2 linked regions of the Tamandua tetradactyla genome follow. The protein of the gene in region 1 purifies or fractionates together with the protein of each later gene. This does not show direct contact. Links are inferred from orthologs where the notes say so. Each region holds a gene or a part of one and is shown on either strand. Other genes may lie near its edges.

The links.
Region 2: the proteins of UBE3A (region 1) and PSMB1 purify together in Homo sapiens (affinity purification with mass spectrometry, with the first as the bait; 3 studies listed by BioGRID). This does not show direct contact. The link is inferred for Tamandua tetradactyla from reciprocal best matches to the Homo sapiens genes UBE3A and PSMB1.

The regions. Positions count from the first base shown.
Region 1 is NC_135338.1:78,190,448-78,198,069, reverse strand, and holds the start of UBE3A (ubiquitin-protein ligase E3A), read right to left. Parts: upstream 3,018-7,622; 5' UTR 2,450-3,017; intron 2,184-2,449; exon of another isoform or gene 1,346-2,183; 5' UTR 1,279-1,345; intron 1-1,278. UniProt on the Homo sapiens protein: E3 ubiquitin-protein ligase which accepts ubiquitin from an E2 ubiquitin-conjugating enzyme in the form of a thioester and transfers it to its substrates.
Region 2 is NC_135330.1:84,881,544-84,888,833, reverse strand, and holds the start of PSMB1 (proteasome subunit beta type-1), read left to right. Parts: upstream 1-4,280; 5' UTR 4,281-4,372; coding exon 4,373-4,485; intron 4,486-7,290. UniProt on the Homo sapiens protein: Non-catalytic component of the 20S core proteasome complex involved in the proteolytic degradation of most intracellular proteins. This complex plays numerous essential roles within the cell by associating with different regulatory particles.

The sequences.
Region 1 (7,622 bases):
CGCATTTCATATACCTTAATCCTCAAAAAAACCCTGAGGTAGCTTTAGCCATCCCATTTTACAGATGACAAAACTGAGGCTCACCAAGATTAAATGACTTGCCAATCGTGAGATTGCTGGAATAAGGCCACAATTAAAAACAGGGTCTAATTTCCATTACAGATACTATGAGAGCTCTGATTATATTTTATCTTCACAGTTGGAGTGGGGTGAAAATTATCAAAACCAACCAAAACTCTGTTTCCTGAACCATCAAATTGTCCAACCTTTATTCAAGTAGTTTATTTAAAAAGCTACTTTGGAAAATTTAGCTTCACTATGAATTAGAAAGCTGATTTTTTAAAAACTGCATATGCATTTAATATAATGTTTATTATAGGTCTATATATAAGAGTGCATGGGGAACATAACCAGTAAGGACTTAAGAAACATTTGGATACATCATTTCAACTTGGATTGAAAAGTTTACAGACAGTTTTGAAACATTTCACTGCTTGCAATATTGAAAACAGCAAATTATTTCGGATTTTTTCAAAGGAAAGTGAGAAGGGTATTAAAATAGAAATAACCTCAAGTTTCAGAAATCTTAGCTATTAAAATCTCACAGGTCACAGACATTTTAGGCACCCAATAAATCTTAGTAAGTATACTGGGGAAGTGGGATGACAATGTGTTAATATGTTATATGTCAAACACACTGCAGGTACACAATAAATTTTGTTGAAGGGACTGGGCAAGTGGGATGAGAAGTGTTCTCAAACCTCTGACTAGTAAGTACCCGTACTTAAGAAATTAATTTTAAGCCATGAAAAAGTTTCAATATAAGAAAGATAAAATAAAAACACCTTACATAATATCTGAAAAGACATAAAAGCACTATATTTTTATTTTTATAAATTATAGGCAGATTCCTCAGGGATGGGACAATGTCCAGAAAATGACGTACATACTACCACTCACAACAGTTAATAAATAGTGACACAGTAAGACTTCCGTAGTTTACATTTTAATTTTGTAAATGAGTTATTCATTTAAGTTTTTACTTTTTTGTAATGCTTAATAGTGTTTATTTAAAGCACTTCTTGTCAGCCTTAGGACTCTTCAAAAGCATCATTAATATTGCATTCATCTCATTAAAAATGCTATATATACCTTAGACTTAAGAGTCGGGGTCTAATTCCAAAGCTCTCTCATGCATATGACAAAACTTCTCTTCTTTTCTCCTGAGTTGTAGATTTTATTTCATGGCTTGAAAATAATTTAAGTAAGGGTACTTACTAGTCAGAGGTGTGAGAACACTTCTCATTCCACTTGTCCAGTCAATTCAACAAAATTTATTGTGCACCTGCGGTGTGTTTAACATGTAACATTTTAATGCTTGTACTTCTTAAACTTTAGGTCATTTCTAGTTCACCTTCCTTCTCCCCACCCCCAAAATGTCTGGATAATTAGTTGCTTCTCTCAAATACTGCAGGAAATGGAATGATGTAAAATTATTGGTTAAATTCATATTTCATCATCACCGAGGGTTAACTTTGGACAATAAATCCCATCTGCTATTAGTTTACTTTATTAACAGCATTTTAGCCACTTAATTAGAATTCTAATCAGATTCTGTATTGTCTCTATTTTAGCACACCCATAAGAAGTTTTTAAAAATTTAGAGACTAAATTATCTTTCTAGGACGCTAAACTTAACCAAACAATGTCTGTACTACATCTATTTTTAAAACCCTAATGGCCTAAAGCATTTGTCGTATTCGATTTTGGCTTTTCCAATCAAAACCTGCACACCAAAATGAGCAAAGTTCCCTTCCCATTCTCTCAATTAAAAGGAAAAAGAAAAAAGGGGGTGGGGAGCAATTATTTGCAGGTCTGCATTTAATACATTCTCTGGCAAACCCACTAACTCGCATTCAACTTTAGAATCTTGGCAACGAGGAACACTTGAACAGTCTGTGAACGCAACCCTGAGGCTTGACACGCCAGTTCCTCCGTCGTCTTCCCTTCCCATCAGTCCACCTCCCCAAACCCCAATTCACCAAGCATACGCCTGAAGATTTCTTCACCAAGAGAGTCCAAGACCTCGAAAACATCGAGAGCGCTTCCCTTGGCAGGGAAAGGACAGCTCTTTCCTGACCTGGACCCTGGCTCAGCCGGCCTTTCAGCGAGCCAGGCCTGCTCTTGCAGTCCTGGACGCCCCACCCCAGGCTCGCTCCTGTACCCTCAGGCAACAAAACCCTCCCTTCCGCGCAATCAGGACTGACAGTTACAGAGGCAGCAAGCTCTGCCAGAAGGGGCCTAATTCTTGCACCGGCCCCCCGAGACTACGCGCCCCCAAATACTCACCCTGGCGAGAGGTGGAGGGTTCAGCCCGAGAGGACAGAGGAAAGAAGGCCGCGCCCCACTCCGCCTGGCCCACCCGCTAGGCCTCTGACAAGACACTGACCTGCCGTCGCTCCCGCGCTTGGGCCGCGGACCTCGTAGCGGCAGCCGACTCACTGGTCGTCGTCGCCCTCTCCCGCCGTCTCCGCCCGCCGCCTCCGCCCGCCACCGCCTCGTTCCCCTTCGCTGCCGCCGCCACCGCCGGGGCTCATGCGGGACCCGCGCTTCCTTCTTTGGAGGCCGAGGCCGGCAAAGTGGCTAGGGACGCCGAGGACCCCACGCTCGTCGCCAGCTGTTGCTCTACCGCTGCCTGTCCACACCGGGGGGGCTGCGGGCCTGACTGGCCGGGGATAGGCCGCGAGCCGCTCAGAGACCGCCGGGAGGAGAAGCCGAAGGAGGCGCCGCCGCCCGCGGCCGAAAGAACCGGATCGGCGGAGGCGAAGCAGAAGGCGGCAGCGGCGGCAGCTGTCGGGCGCCGGGCCGGTGGCTGGCTACGTGGCGGCGGGGTGCGCGAGCGAGCGGAGGGCGGGTTATCGGTGCCCTGTCGTTTCCTGCAGTCACCCCGAGCCCAGCGCCACCATCTTGGGAGAAACACAGAACTCGCGGCCGCAGCGCAAGCCGGGAGGACTGGATGGGCGGGCTGAGTATCCCGGCAGGCTGCGCGCGCCGCGGCCTGGAGAAGGCTCCGGTCGGGGACGCGGGGACGCGGGGCGGGGCCGGGACGCAGGCGGGAGGGCTCCGCGCCGCAGCCTCTCCCAACCCCACCGTCTTTCCTAGCCCGCTCCGGTTGCCGCCGTCCGCCGCGCGCACACACACACACACACACACACACATACACACACACACACATACACACACACACACCTCAGTGCAATCGCCGCCGGCGCAGGGATCGCTGGGAAGAGGAGGTATCCCGCGGCTACGCTGAACCTCTCGATGTTCCGTCGCCATCTTGGAACTAGGCCGGAGAAGCAATTCTGCCACCGAGCCGGGCTGTCAGCGATGCAACAGAAAGCGGAGGAGATACTTTCCGGAAACCTCCTTAGTCTTTAGGAGGGTTGGAGAGCCCCCTTGTCCACCCACCCGAGAAACGTGCTGGGACTTGGTCGCCCCTGTTTTGTCTGGAACGAGTCGTCTCCAAAAGGCAGCAGAGATGGCACTGATAGCCCCCAGCCCCGAGGCGGGATAGAAACCTCCTTCCCTGCTAGATCTTTGATCCCATCCTCTTTCTACCTGAAGCCGCCCATGTAAACACTGCGAATGTAGCCCGAGAGTGTGGGCCAGCTTTCAGAGGCCAAGGTCATCTGCTTAGTCCTCTTGCTTATTACAGGATGTGTCACTAGTTTACAAAAGAAGAAAAGGTAAAAGTCAGTTAACTGCAGTACTGATACATGTAGGTTGTCTCTGAAGAGATGTGGCGTCTTGGTTGACTCCAGTTGCTGTGTTGAGGTTAATTTTGATCCTACTGACAACTGAACCTATTTAAAGCCATGCAAATTGAAATCATATTTGGCATCAGGGTCCTCGTCTTATTTTAAAGAGATTATTTATGGCTTTGTAATACTTGATAACAAAGCTGTAATGATATCATGAACAATTAATACTCCTACAGGTTTTCAACTTTGCCAACAAACTCTTTAAACAGTGTTCCTATTTGATGGTAGCATAACATTGTGCATATAATTAGCAGTAGAGAAATATAGATCTGAATGTGGCTAAAACGGGAAATGTTAGAATGCAGGTATACAAATAATAAAAATTTTTTTAAATCCATGAAACTATACCACACAAACAGGAAACCCAAAGTTAAACCATGGGCTAAAGTTAATAGTACAATTATCAAAACGTGCCATCATCAATTGTAACAAAGGTTCCACAACAAATGCAAGGTGTTAATAATAAGGTGATATGTGGGAATCCTATATTTTATGCATGATTGTTCTTAAACCCACAACTACTATAATAAAGGGAAAAAGGCACGTTAGAATAAAATATTTGGAAAATTAAGGAAAGCCAGTAAAAAGAATATTGTGTGTTGCTCCATTCAAGCAATATTCAAATTTTTATGGATACAATCATATATAGCAGTATAGTTTTGTAAGTAATATTATTAGAGTATCCTTTTTTTAATATAGGCAGGAATAATTAATAGAACCCCTCTCCCAACTATAGAATATTTAACCAGCTATTAGAAATAAGCTGAAGACATTTAGATTATTCCAGAATTGAAAGCCATGTCCGATTTTATGATGTTTTAACTTGGGTCCTTATTCAGTTGCTACTTCTATTTTCATTCACTCCAGTTACAGAGCTTCATTTGGAAACTACTTGCAGTTGTATTTTATGGAGGGAAATAATCTTTTAAAGGTTTATATTTATCTTTATTTTGATACATAAGCCAAGAGGAATGAAAATCATTAAAGACTTTCTTGTTAGAACTAAAAGCAAAATGTTACCACTATAACATGTGAAGACACTTTTTAGCTATTCTACTTTCTCTTAAGTAGAACTTGAATAAATGAATGTTTTAAAACTTGATGTATCAAAATGTGTCTGAAATCCCTGAGTTCCAAAAAGGTTAGACTTGAGGGAAATAAATCTACTCTTAGTTAGATGTCTAAATGACTATCCAGTTATTTATTAAGATATTTTGATGTTAGTAGGGCCTCTTTGGAATCTCGGAAATTACTCATAGCCATTTTAGTTCATTAATGTTAAATATGTATTCTTGTGTGTGAATTAGCACCTGGGAGACTCATAGCCTAAACCTTTTAGTTCATTAATTGTCTCCCATTTAGACCCATGTTTTTCTTCAGGTGTGTCTTCCCAAAAAAATTACTTGGTATCTAGTAAGTGAGCAGTAAATTTTTTAGACTATTTTAGTTAAAATGAGATCCAGTCATTTCTAATGATTTTCTCATTTCAGGTGTAAAGTGAAAGTGTAATTTAATTTTTTTCAGCATAATGCGTTAATTCCTTAAACAAACTTTGAGCTTGTACTATTTACAAAATACTGTGCCAGGCCTTGAGAAAGAATAAAAGATCAATAATCCCTATCCCTGTCCTTAAGAGCTCACAGTTCAAGGGGAAGTCATACCTGGCCACAGTAAAACTGTGGACAGTTTATCAGAGTAATTCAGTTCTTTAATGATCATGAGAGAATTCACTAATACATTTTTTTTTAATCATCTTGCTGTAAATTTCTGGTTGTATTAGTTGCCTAGGGCAGCGATAGAAAATTACTACATCCTGGGTGGTTTAAAACAACAAATTTATACTTCTACAGTTCAGAAGGCTAGAAGTCCAAAACTTGGGTATTGGCTGGGTTGGTTTCTTCTGGAGGCTCCAAGGAAGAAACGATCCCATACTTTTCTAGCTTCTGATGGTTGCCTTGGTATTCTTTGACTTGTAGACGCATCCCTCAGGTTTTACCTCCATCTTTATATCGTCATCATCTCTGTATCTATCTGTGTGCTCTTCTCGTCTTTTAAAGACACCAGTTATTAGATTTGGTAAGATTTTATCTCAAGATGCTTAACAAATTATGTCTGCAAAGACCTTATTTCCAAATAAGGTCATATTCTGAGATTCTGGTTAGGCTTGGATTTAGGGGACACTGTTCAACCTACTACACCGGTGATGTTAAAATTTTCATAGGGCTATTTTGGTTCTTTAGCTTTCTTATTAATGGGAGTTACAACAGATTAATTAAAGTGTAAAAACATGGGCAGGCCACAGTGGCTCAGCAGGCAAGAATGTTTGCCTGCCATGCCAGAGGACCCAGGTTCGTTTCCTGGTGCCTGCCCATGTAATAATAAAAAAAAAATGTAAAAACACTATTACTCAGCATGCCCCTGGATCAGGATTAAGCTGAGTGCCTGGATGAAAAGAGGGTCAGATATGGTGGGGTAAAGTCACTGTTGCATACGTTACTTGGTAATAACACTTGTTTTTAGGCTACATCAAAATGTTCAATTCCCAACTATTGAAAGAAACTAAGCTTTCATTATCTGATTCGCTCCCTATATTTAACTAATGTTTTTGAAGCAAAATTAGTTCCATGTAGAAGAGTACCTGGCACATGGTAATTATGCACTAAATGTTAATGCTTGCTGTCTCTGTAAACCAACATGGCAGGTGAACTCTCTGTGCTCCCCCCTACCTGGGGCATGTCTCCCAGAGGTGTGAATCTTCTTGGCAGCGTGGGACTTGACTCCCAAGGATAAGCTGGAACCTGGCATCATGGGATTGAGAGGGCCTTCTTGACTTAAAAGGGGAAGAGAAAAATGAGACAAAGTTTGAGTAGCTGAGAAGTTTCAAACTAAAGAATCAAGAGGTTTTCCTGGAGGTTGTTCTTATGCATTATGTAGATAATCTTTTTGGTTTATGTTACATTGGAGCGACTAGAGGGAAGTACCTGAAACTGTTGCGCTATGTTCCAGTAACCTTGATTCTTGAAGACGATATATAGTTTTTACTGTGTGTAACTATATATAGTTTTTACAATTGTGAAACCTGGTGACTGGCACTCACTTTATCCAGTGTAGGGGCGGATGAGTAAAAAAATAAGTATAGGAAATAAATAATAGAGGGGGAATGCGGGGTAAAAAAAATTGGGGTTAATTGCAATACTGATGGTCAATGGGAGGGATGAGTGTGGGATATGGGATGTATGGGCTTTTTCTTTTTCCTTATTTCTTTTCTTGCAGTGGTACAAGTGTTCTAAAAATGGACAACTATGTGGTAATGTTATGGGCCATTGATACTTTGGATGGACTGTATATGTGTGAAGATGAATGTGAATATTATCGATATCATTATTTACCATTACACACTTCACAGCTTTACACCTCCACCCTTACCCCTACAGATCTATCTAAATCTGGACACCTCCTTACCTCCTGCCTTCTTCCTTTCTAAGGCAATATTTTTTTTCTTTTTTGGCATGGGCAGGCACCGGGAAATTAGGCCTTTTTTTTTTTTTGTCTTGTTAACACTTCATCATTCCATCTCCAGTCAATAATCTCTCCTGCTCTACTGAATTTGTTCCCTTGTATTTATAAGAATTTTCTGTGCTTAAATTGCCACTTCCTTCCAAGGCCCTCTTCAACTACTAAAATTAGGCTTCTGCCCCCATTTTACTCCACTTTGCTTGTGTTAATGTCACTAATGGCAGAACAGCCAAATGCAAAACACAGTTTTGCTTGTAACTAACATTTTTGCAGACTTCCATACTG
Region 2 (7,290 bases), on another chromosome or scaffold:
GGTAAACCAAAAACCCTTGGACTGGAATCTCTCTCAGCATTCAGTCTTTTCCCTGGAGCATCACCAGTGCACTCCTACCAATTTCCTCAACTCTTTGGGTTATCTTCATGCACACTGAGGATAAGCGATGCTGTTCTGAAAAAGTTTGAAGTTTAATGCACATTTCTATTCAAACATTTATCATCTAATAAAAAGTTCTCATATAGCACTTACAGGTCTCAAAGTTGCAGGTTAAATATAAAAGAACTACATACATCTCAATTATGTGCCTGGTTCACAGCAGGCACTCAAATATTTGCTGAATGAATAAAAGAATCTGATGATCACTTTGAGAGGGCGAAAGTTCCCAAAGACTACATTTTCTACATACTCATCACCAAAAACAGACCAAACCAAATCAAACCAAACACATACTAAAACTCAAAATACCCTCTATTAGTAAGATCAAAATGAAAAAAGAAAACTGTGCTGCTGAAAATAAACATATCAGAGATGTAAGAAAAGTATACTTTTCTAGACACTGTAACCCTAAAATAATAATATAAATGTATAAAGTATAAAGACAAAGGGGATATAGCCACTGACATCATTCAACTGAAGGGTGTGCAAATATTTACTGCAACATTTTGTATGTGCTATCATGGAAGGCATATGTGTCTTTGCAATTTCTGCACCAAGCACAGGGCCTGGAACATAGTTATGCGATCATAAATGAGTGAATGTAGATATACATGAATGAATACATATATGGTATGGAAGAGAAGGAAGTATGAACTGTGACGCACTCTGGAGACAAGGCAGTGTTTTCACAAAGCAAGGACCATGTGATTTGAGTCTAGCAAGGTAAGACTCAATCTGTATTTCAGGCAAAAGGAAGATCATGCACAAAGGGGAAGAAAAATAAAAGCAGCTTAGTTTAGTTATCTAGAGGGTAGGTGCAAGAGATGAGACAGAAAATATAGTTGGCATCCCATTATGAAGAATTTTGGGCATTATCACATAGGCACTAATGGCAGTTACACAATCCTGAAGCGTAGAATGAATAGATCTGTGTTTCAGAAGGGCTATTTTGGCAAAAATGTGGATGAATTAGAGGGTAGTAAGACTAGAGAAGGGAAGCTTAGTTTAAGGGGTCGCTGCGTAGTTAAGGCAAGAGATAATCAAGGCAGGATTTAAAGCACCGTAAATATCACTACCTAGAAATTTATCCAGAGCCTTTGGTATCTATAGACTATCTTTCACAAACTAAAAGCCTAAAGAAGCCTGAGAACCTAGACTGGGAGTCTTACGTCATAATCGTTCAGCGCTAATCCCAGAAATAGCCCATCACTTCCAGGATGGGAGAGACTGCCACTTCCTCACCTATATCAACTGTACTGACTTATCCTTAGAAAAGATCATTGTTGAGAGAGTGTCTCCATGTTTTGGAAGCTGAAGACATCAAACAAGCTCTTTTGTTTTCTGAAGGCAATGACTGATAGTGAAGAGAACCAATGAATTCTGCACAGTCTTCTAGCGTCTGCATAACCCATCCAGCAGTCTGTATGAGGTCTCTTTTCACAGAGAACGTTACCTGGAGCTTCACACTGGATAATCACACTGGCCTGACTCCAGACATGTAGGCATTGTAAATACAGCAGTGCGAATTTATTTATTTAAGAGAAGCCATACCGAGCCCGAAGTCTCAGGATTATGAGAATCCTAAAAAGGCCCCAAGCAGAACTTCACGATAAAACCAGCATGGGAGCAAAACCAGCAGGCCCAGGCCAGAGTTAATCCACCGTCCACTGCCGAAGAGAAGAGGCATGACAGAAAAGGACAGGAAAGATTATGGGTTTCCGACACACCTGGCTGTCCTCCGCTCTGGGCCCCTCTAAACGCTCAGCACCCAACATTTGCGCGGCGGGAAGCGGCCTTGCGAACCACAGCCGTGCAGCGACCCGGCTGGGGGCAGCGGCCGAGGCAGGCGGGCAGCGGGGACCGGCCGGCCGGTGGGCGGCACGGGCCGGGAGGAACGTCCGGCAGCCCGCGGAGCCTTGCGCGCCCAGCTCCGCGTCCCCTCCCCCTTCATCGGCCCGAGGACCTCGATGCACGAATCGCCATCCTTCCGCACACACAGCCCTCCCGAGAACAGAGAGAGTCAAAGAGGCCGTTACCTGGAGTCTCTGAGGTAACCGCCACTGGCCCACACAAACCAGATTGGGCACCCGCCACCGCGACCCTTCCCGACCCTATTAAACACCGGCGCGCGCTGGATGACGTCACTTCCGCCAGTGCCCCCTCGGCTTCAGCGAGCTAACCATGCTCGAGTGACGGCCATGGGAAGTGTGGGCACATGTCGCTTCCCTATTCCTTGAGCGCTCGGTTTACGGGAAATTAGGGTGGGAGCTCTTCGGAGAGTTCTGGGGCGGGGCCGCTTTGCCATAATACTTCCTAATTGGTCGGTGATGGATGCAGGAAAGCAATATATGCTTAAAAAAAAAAAAGAAAAAATATATATTTAAACCAAGTAGTTTTGTAACCTTTGGCAGTTGACATCTGTGCCTGGGTTTCTTCGTCTTTAAAATGGGATGATACTATTTACCCTGCAGAGATGTTGTGAGATTCAGTTAATAGATGAACAGTGCCTGGCACATGGTAAGCATTCATTGAAGGTTACCTAATTCTTCTTAAAAATATATAATGATAAGTAAAACAAAAAGATAGCCTTAATAAAGAGATTCAATTGTATTTATAATTCTGCTAGTAACATCATGATGGTTGATCTCAGTTGTCAACTTGGCTAGGTTATGGTGGTGTTTGGTCAAGCGAGCACTGGTCTTATTGTTTCTGTGGGGGTCTTTTGAGATGGATTTAAGTCATTGATCAGTTCATTGCATCTACTGTTGATTGCATCTATAATGTAAAAAAGATATTGCCTTCAGCAATGAGAGGATTCTTCTTATCCAACCAGTTGGAGGCCTTAAAGAAAGAACTGAGGATTTCAGCAGTCAGAAAGAATTTCTGTCTCTACTTCAGCCAGTCAGCTTCTCCTGGGGCATTCAATGACATCATCACAGAGTTTCCAATTTGCTGCCTGCCCTATGGAATTCAGTTTTGTCGATCCCCAAGTTTCTGTGAGCCAATTCCTATAAGTCTCTTAATATTTACATATATATATATATATATATGTATCTGCCAGTTCAGTTTCTCTCAGAGAACCCTATCTAATCCAACCATTTTCGGCAATCTTAGTTGTTTCTTAGTTCGTTTACTTCTGTATGTTTGATTAGAACCCAGCACACCTTGATTTCTCGCTTCTAGTTTTTTAAAAATGAATAATCATATATTGTACTGCTTTGTTTTTTATTTGCTCTTTATTTTTTCTGTTTTATCAGTGAGGTGGTCAGCAACTTAAGGATCGGAAGTGTTATCTATGCTTTTTGTATCGCGTACTATATCTGGCACCTTGTTAGCCTATGGAGAGAACTGAATAAGTACAATACCTCTTTCTGCATAACATCAAAGAAAATCCTTTGTTTATTTATGGGAAATATGGAAAATATTTCAACATTTAATTAAACAAGTACTTTCAAAAACATTTTCTGATCCCAGATTTTCTGTATATATCGTGTAGTCCACCTTGTCTTGCCAGGAACCTGCAGAATAGAGTCTGCTTAAATTCGATGGACCCTTAAGATTGAAAAATGAAGCAGGCCAGTTGATAAGCAACAAGGTAACAGTTCACTGGAACTCAAAGCCTAGGAGGCTGGTCCTGGGCGGGTGCAGGGCATTCGGAGCAGCACTGCGCATTGCTTGGCGGGTTACAGCGTCTACGCAGGCCAAGGAAGGTATGGAGCAAGGTTGGGATTTGCAGATGGTAAGCATGTCTTTTGGTTTTACGTTACGTGTTTTATGGCTAGAGTATATACCTAGGATTGGAACTTTTGGCCCACAAGGTATGCGTATCTTCAATTATGCTAGACGCTAATCTGTTAATTGGCTATTCCAATTTACATTCCCACCAATAGCGTTTTCCAGTTTCCGTTTCTCCTCATTTTTGCTAATATTTTATATGGTCAGACTTTTAAATCTTTGGCCATTCGGAGGGAATTCGAATTTTTCCGTAAGAAAAAAACCCACAAGCCCTTTACATTTTTGTCTGCTTTTTTTGGACTAGGGAGCGCCGAGGTACCGACACATCCTGGCAGCGCCGGTGACCTCCAGGAGCACCGAGGAGTGCATGATAGAGCGGCTTGGAGGTGGGCGCCGAGGAGCAGCCGGAACTGACGTGTTCACTTCCGGAAGTGAAGTGAAGTCACTTCCGGCTGGAGCCGCCATCTTGCTGTGAGACAGCAGGTGTCGGAGCCGGAGCTGCATCTGGGGCTGAGCTATGTTATCTTCAGCAGCTATGCACTGTGGTCTTGACCGAGAGCTGGGGATGGAGCCATACAGAACCGCGGGTCCCTCCCAGTTTCGCTTTTCACCCTACGCCTTCAATGGAGGGTAAAATCCATCGAGAGCCGCCGCTTTTACTTTCGCCCTTGTCCACTCTGCAGACGCTTATTTGGGGTCGCCGGCGGGAAAGGCCCTGCCCTGTCTCACCCTTCAGGCCTTCAGGACCCTTAGCTGTGTGCGTTCACGCAGCGGCACAACCCCTTCCCTTTTCTCCTTTTCCCTGTGTTTCTCTGTTCATGCCTGGCTTGCTCGGTTTCGCATTGCGGTTTTCAGGGTTTCTTCTTACAGTTTAGTCGTTTGGGTCTTTATGTGGACGACTAGTTTACGGTATAGCTTGCTTCTTGCCGGAACGAGGCAGTAAATAGAAAGGGAAACATCTGCTGTGTGGAAGACCCTGTCGTGTTTGAACACATTTCCCATGTCAGCAGGTTAGGACAGGTTCAGGATTTGAAATAAAAACGTTATAATTGAACCACGTTGGTAGAGGCTAGTTTTGTTGCAGCTGAAACGTAGTCAAAAGCTTAATCATTTTCTCATAAGTTGAAGCTGGCCAGACTTAATAGATTATTCATTTTTTTTCTTTTTTAGAAAGCTTAGCTTAAGTCCAGAAAAAAATGCTCAGAAGGGGTCCCTTTTGATATGTGTATTTTTTCATGTTTTTTGGTAACAAGCTTTTTTTTTTTAAGGTAATACTTTCCCCTGGTAGTGTACCAGAAGAATCAGTTAGGACTCTGACAGTGAAGAGCTATAAATAGAAGCGGTGGTTATACTTTATCAGTCAGACTTTGTAGAAAAAATTGCGTACAATTCGAACAGATAGTTCAGAAAGACCAAAAACATTGATTAGGTCCTTATGAATTTGAAATGTGGATGCAGATTGTTGGAAAGCAAGAGTATGTTGGAAACCAAGAGTTAAAGGCTGCGATTTTAGACCTAGTTTTGCCACCAAAGGGCTGTGCAGTTATGGGATACCTCTCTCAACCTCTTGAGCCCCAATTTTTTTCATCTACCTTAGTTCTTAAATTTTGGGGGAGAATCAAATGAGAAGCATTTTATAAATGGCAAGGAGTTATGTTACTTTAGTTCCCCTAGTGGCTGAATATTAGATGATATTGGCCTCTTTTTTTAACAAATGAACCTGAGGCTCTTAGAAATTAAATTGTCCCTGGCTACAACAGCATACAGAACTGGGGTGAAGTTGAGCCAACACTTGAATTCATCTCTTTCACCCAACAGTTTTTGTGGGCTCCTTCTCAGCACTTCCTGTGATAACTAATTTCGTTGTTATATTATTGTAAGGTGGATTAGACCCATTTCATAAGGTAGCTGTAAATTCTTTATAAGAAGAATTTTCAAGGCATTCAGTGTTCAGTACTTGTCACTCATTCTTAACCCATTGTAATCTAATTTATGCCATTACTGCCTTAAAAGTTACTCAAGACTTTGTTATATTCTTACCTTTTCTCAAACTTTGTTATATTGTTACCTTTTCTCAAACTTTGTTCTTTTTCTTTACTGTTCATTGCTGTTGGCTCTTAAAACTCTACTTTTTGCTTCTACAGCATAAGGCTTAGTTTTGTACATCTTTCTACTCTTAACTCTTTATTTTATTTTTTTAAATTTAGTACCAAATAAACATTTTTTGCTTTAGTCTCACACGTAAGGTAAAATTTTAAAATATTAATTATGATCTGTTTTCGGCACTCTGCACTAATGACATTCCTTTGTTCTTCCTCATGCAAAAACGTTCTTTAAATTTGTGCATTTAGTCACCATCACTATACACTTTAGGTGTTCCTAGATTATACCATCTCAATCTTTAACGTCTTATCTTTCTTTCTGATTTCGTTTGTGCCCCCAGCTCTCCTCCCTCTGTCATTCTCACATTCAGCCTCATTCAATGTTCCAACATCATTGTATTACATTTAGGTAGTATTGTGTTGTCCATTTCTGAGTTTTTACATTCAGTCCCGTTGCACAATCTGTATCCTTTCAGCACCAATTACCCAACATCTTACCCTATTTCTATCTCCTGATGGTCTCTGTTACCAATGAAATTCTCCAAGTTTATTCACAAATGTCAGTGAGACCATACACTATTTGTCGTTTTGTTTCTGGCTAATCTCACTCAGCATGATGTCCTTAAGGTCCATCCATGTTGTTACATACTTCATAAATTTATTCTGTCTTACGGCTGCATAATATTACATCGTATGTATATACCACGGTTTGTTTAGCCACTCGTATGTTGATGGACATTTTGGCTGTTTTCATCTCTTTGCAATTGTAACTAACGCTGCTATAAACATTGGTGTGCAAATATCAAGTTTGTGTCTTTGCCCTCATGTCCTCTGTCTACTCTTAACTCTTTAAATGTAGTCAACCCCAAGTTATTAACCTCTGTGTTTTTCACCCAGCACTCTCACATATCTCAGTCTGGCTCGCATCATCATCCCCAGAAGGATAATTCCAAATCTATTTCTCTGCCTCTGCCTCTCATGAGTCCCTCAGTTCTGATTTTTTATAGTATATTTCTACAAAAAGAAAAAAGCTAATTATTTCTCTTAATCAGCTCTCCTTATTTATAATCTTTATAATGCCGTTGTGTTCATCCAAGTTTAAAATCTTGTATGTCGTAATTGGCTCTTCAGAAAAACTTGTTCATTTCATTTTAAATGTATTCTGGATTTACCTGTTTCTTTCTATTCGCCTTGCTGCGTTCCTATTTCATTAGTCTTATTAGAGCAGCTCCCCTTCCCATTTTATATGAATGTAAAATATGTTGTAGTAATCTTTATCTGGACCTCTAGCTTAAGTTTTGTTTAACAGAGGAGAATTTTTAGCTCTTGTTTT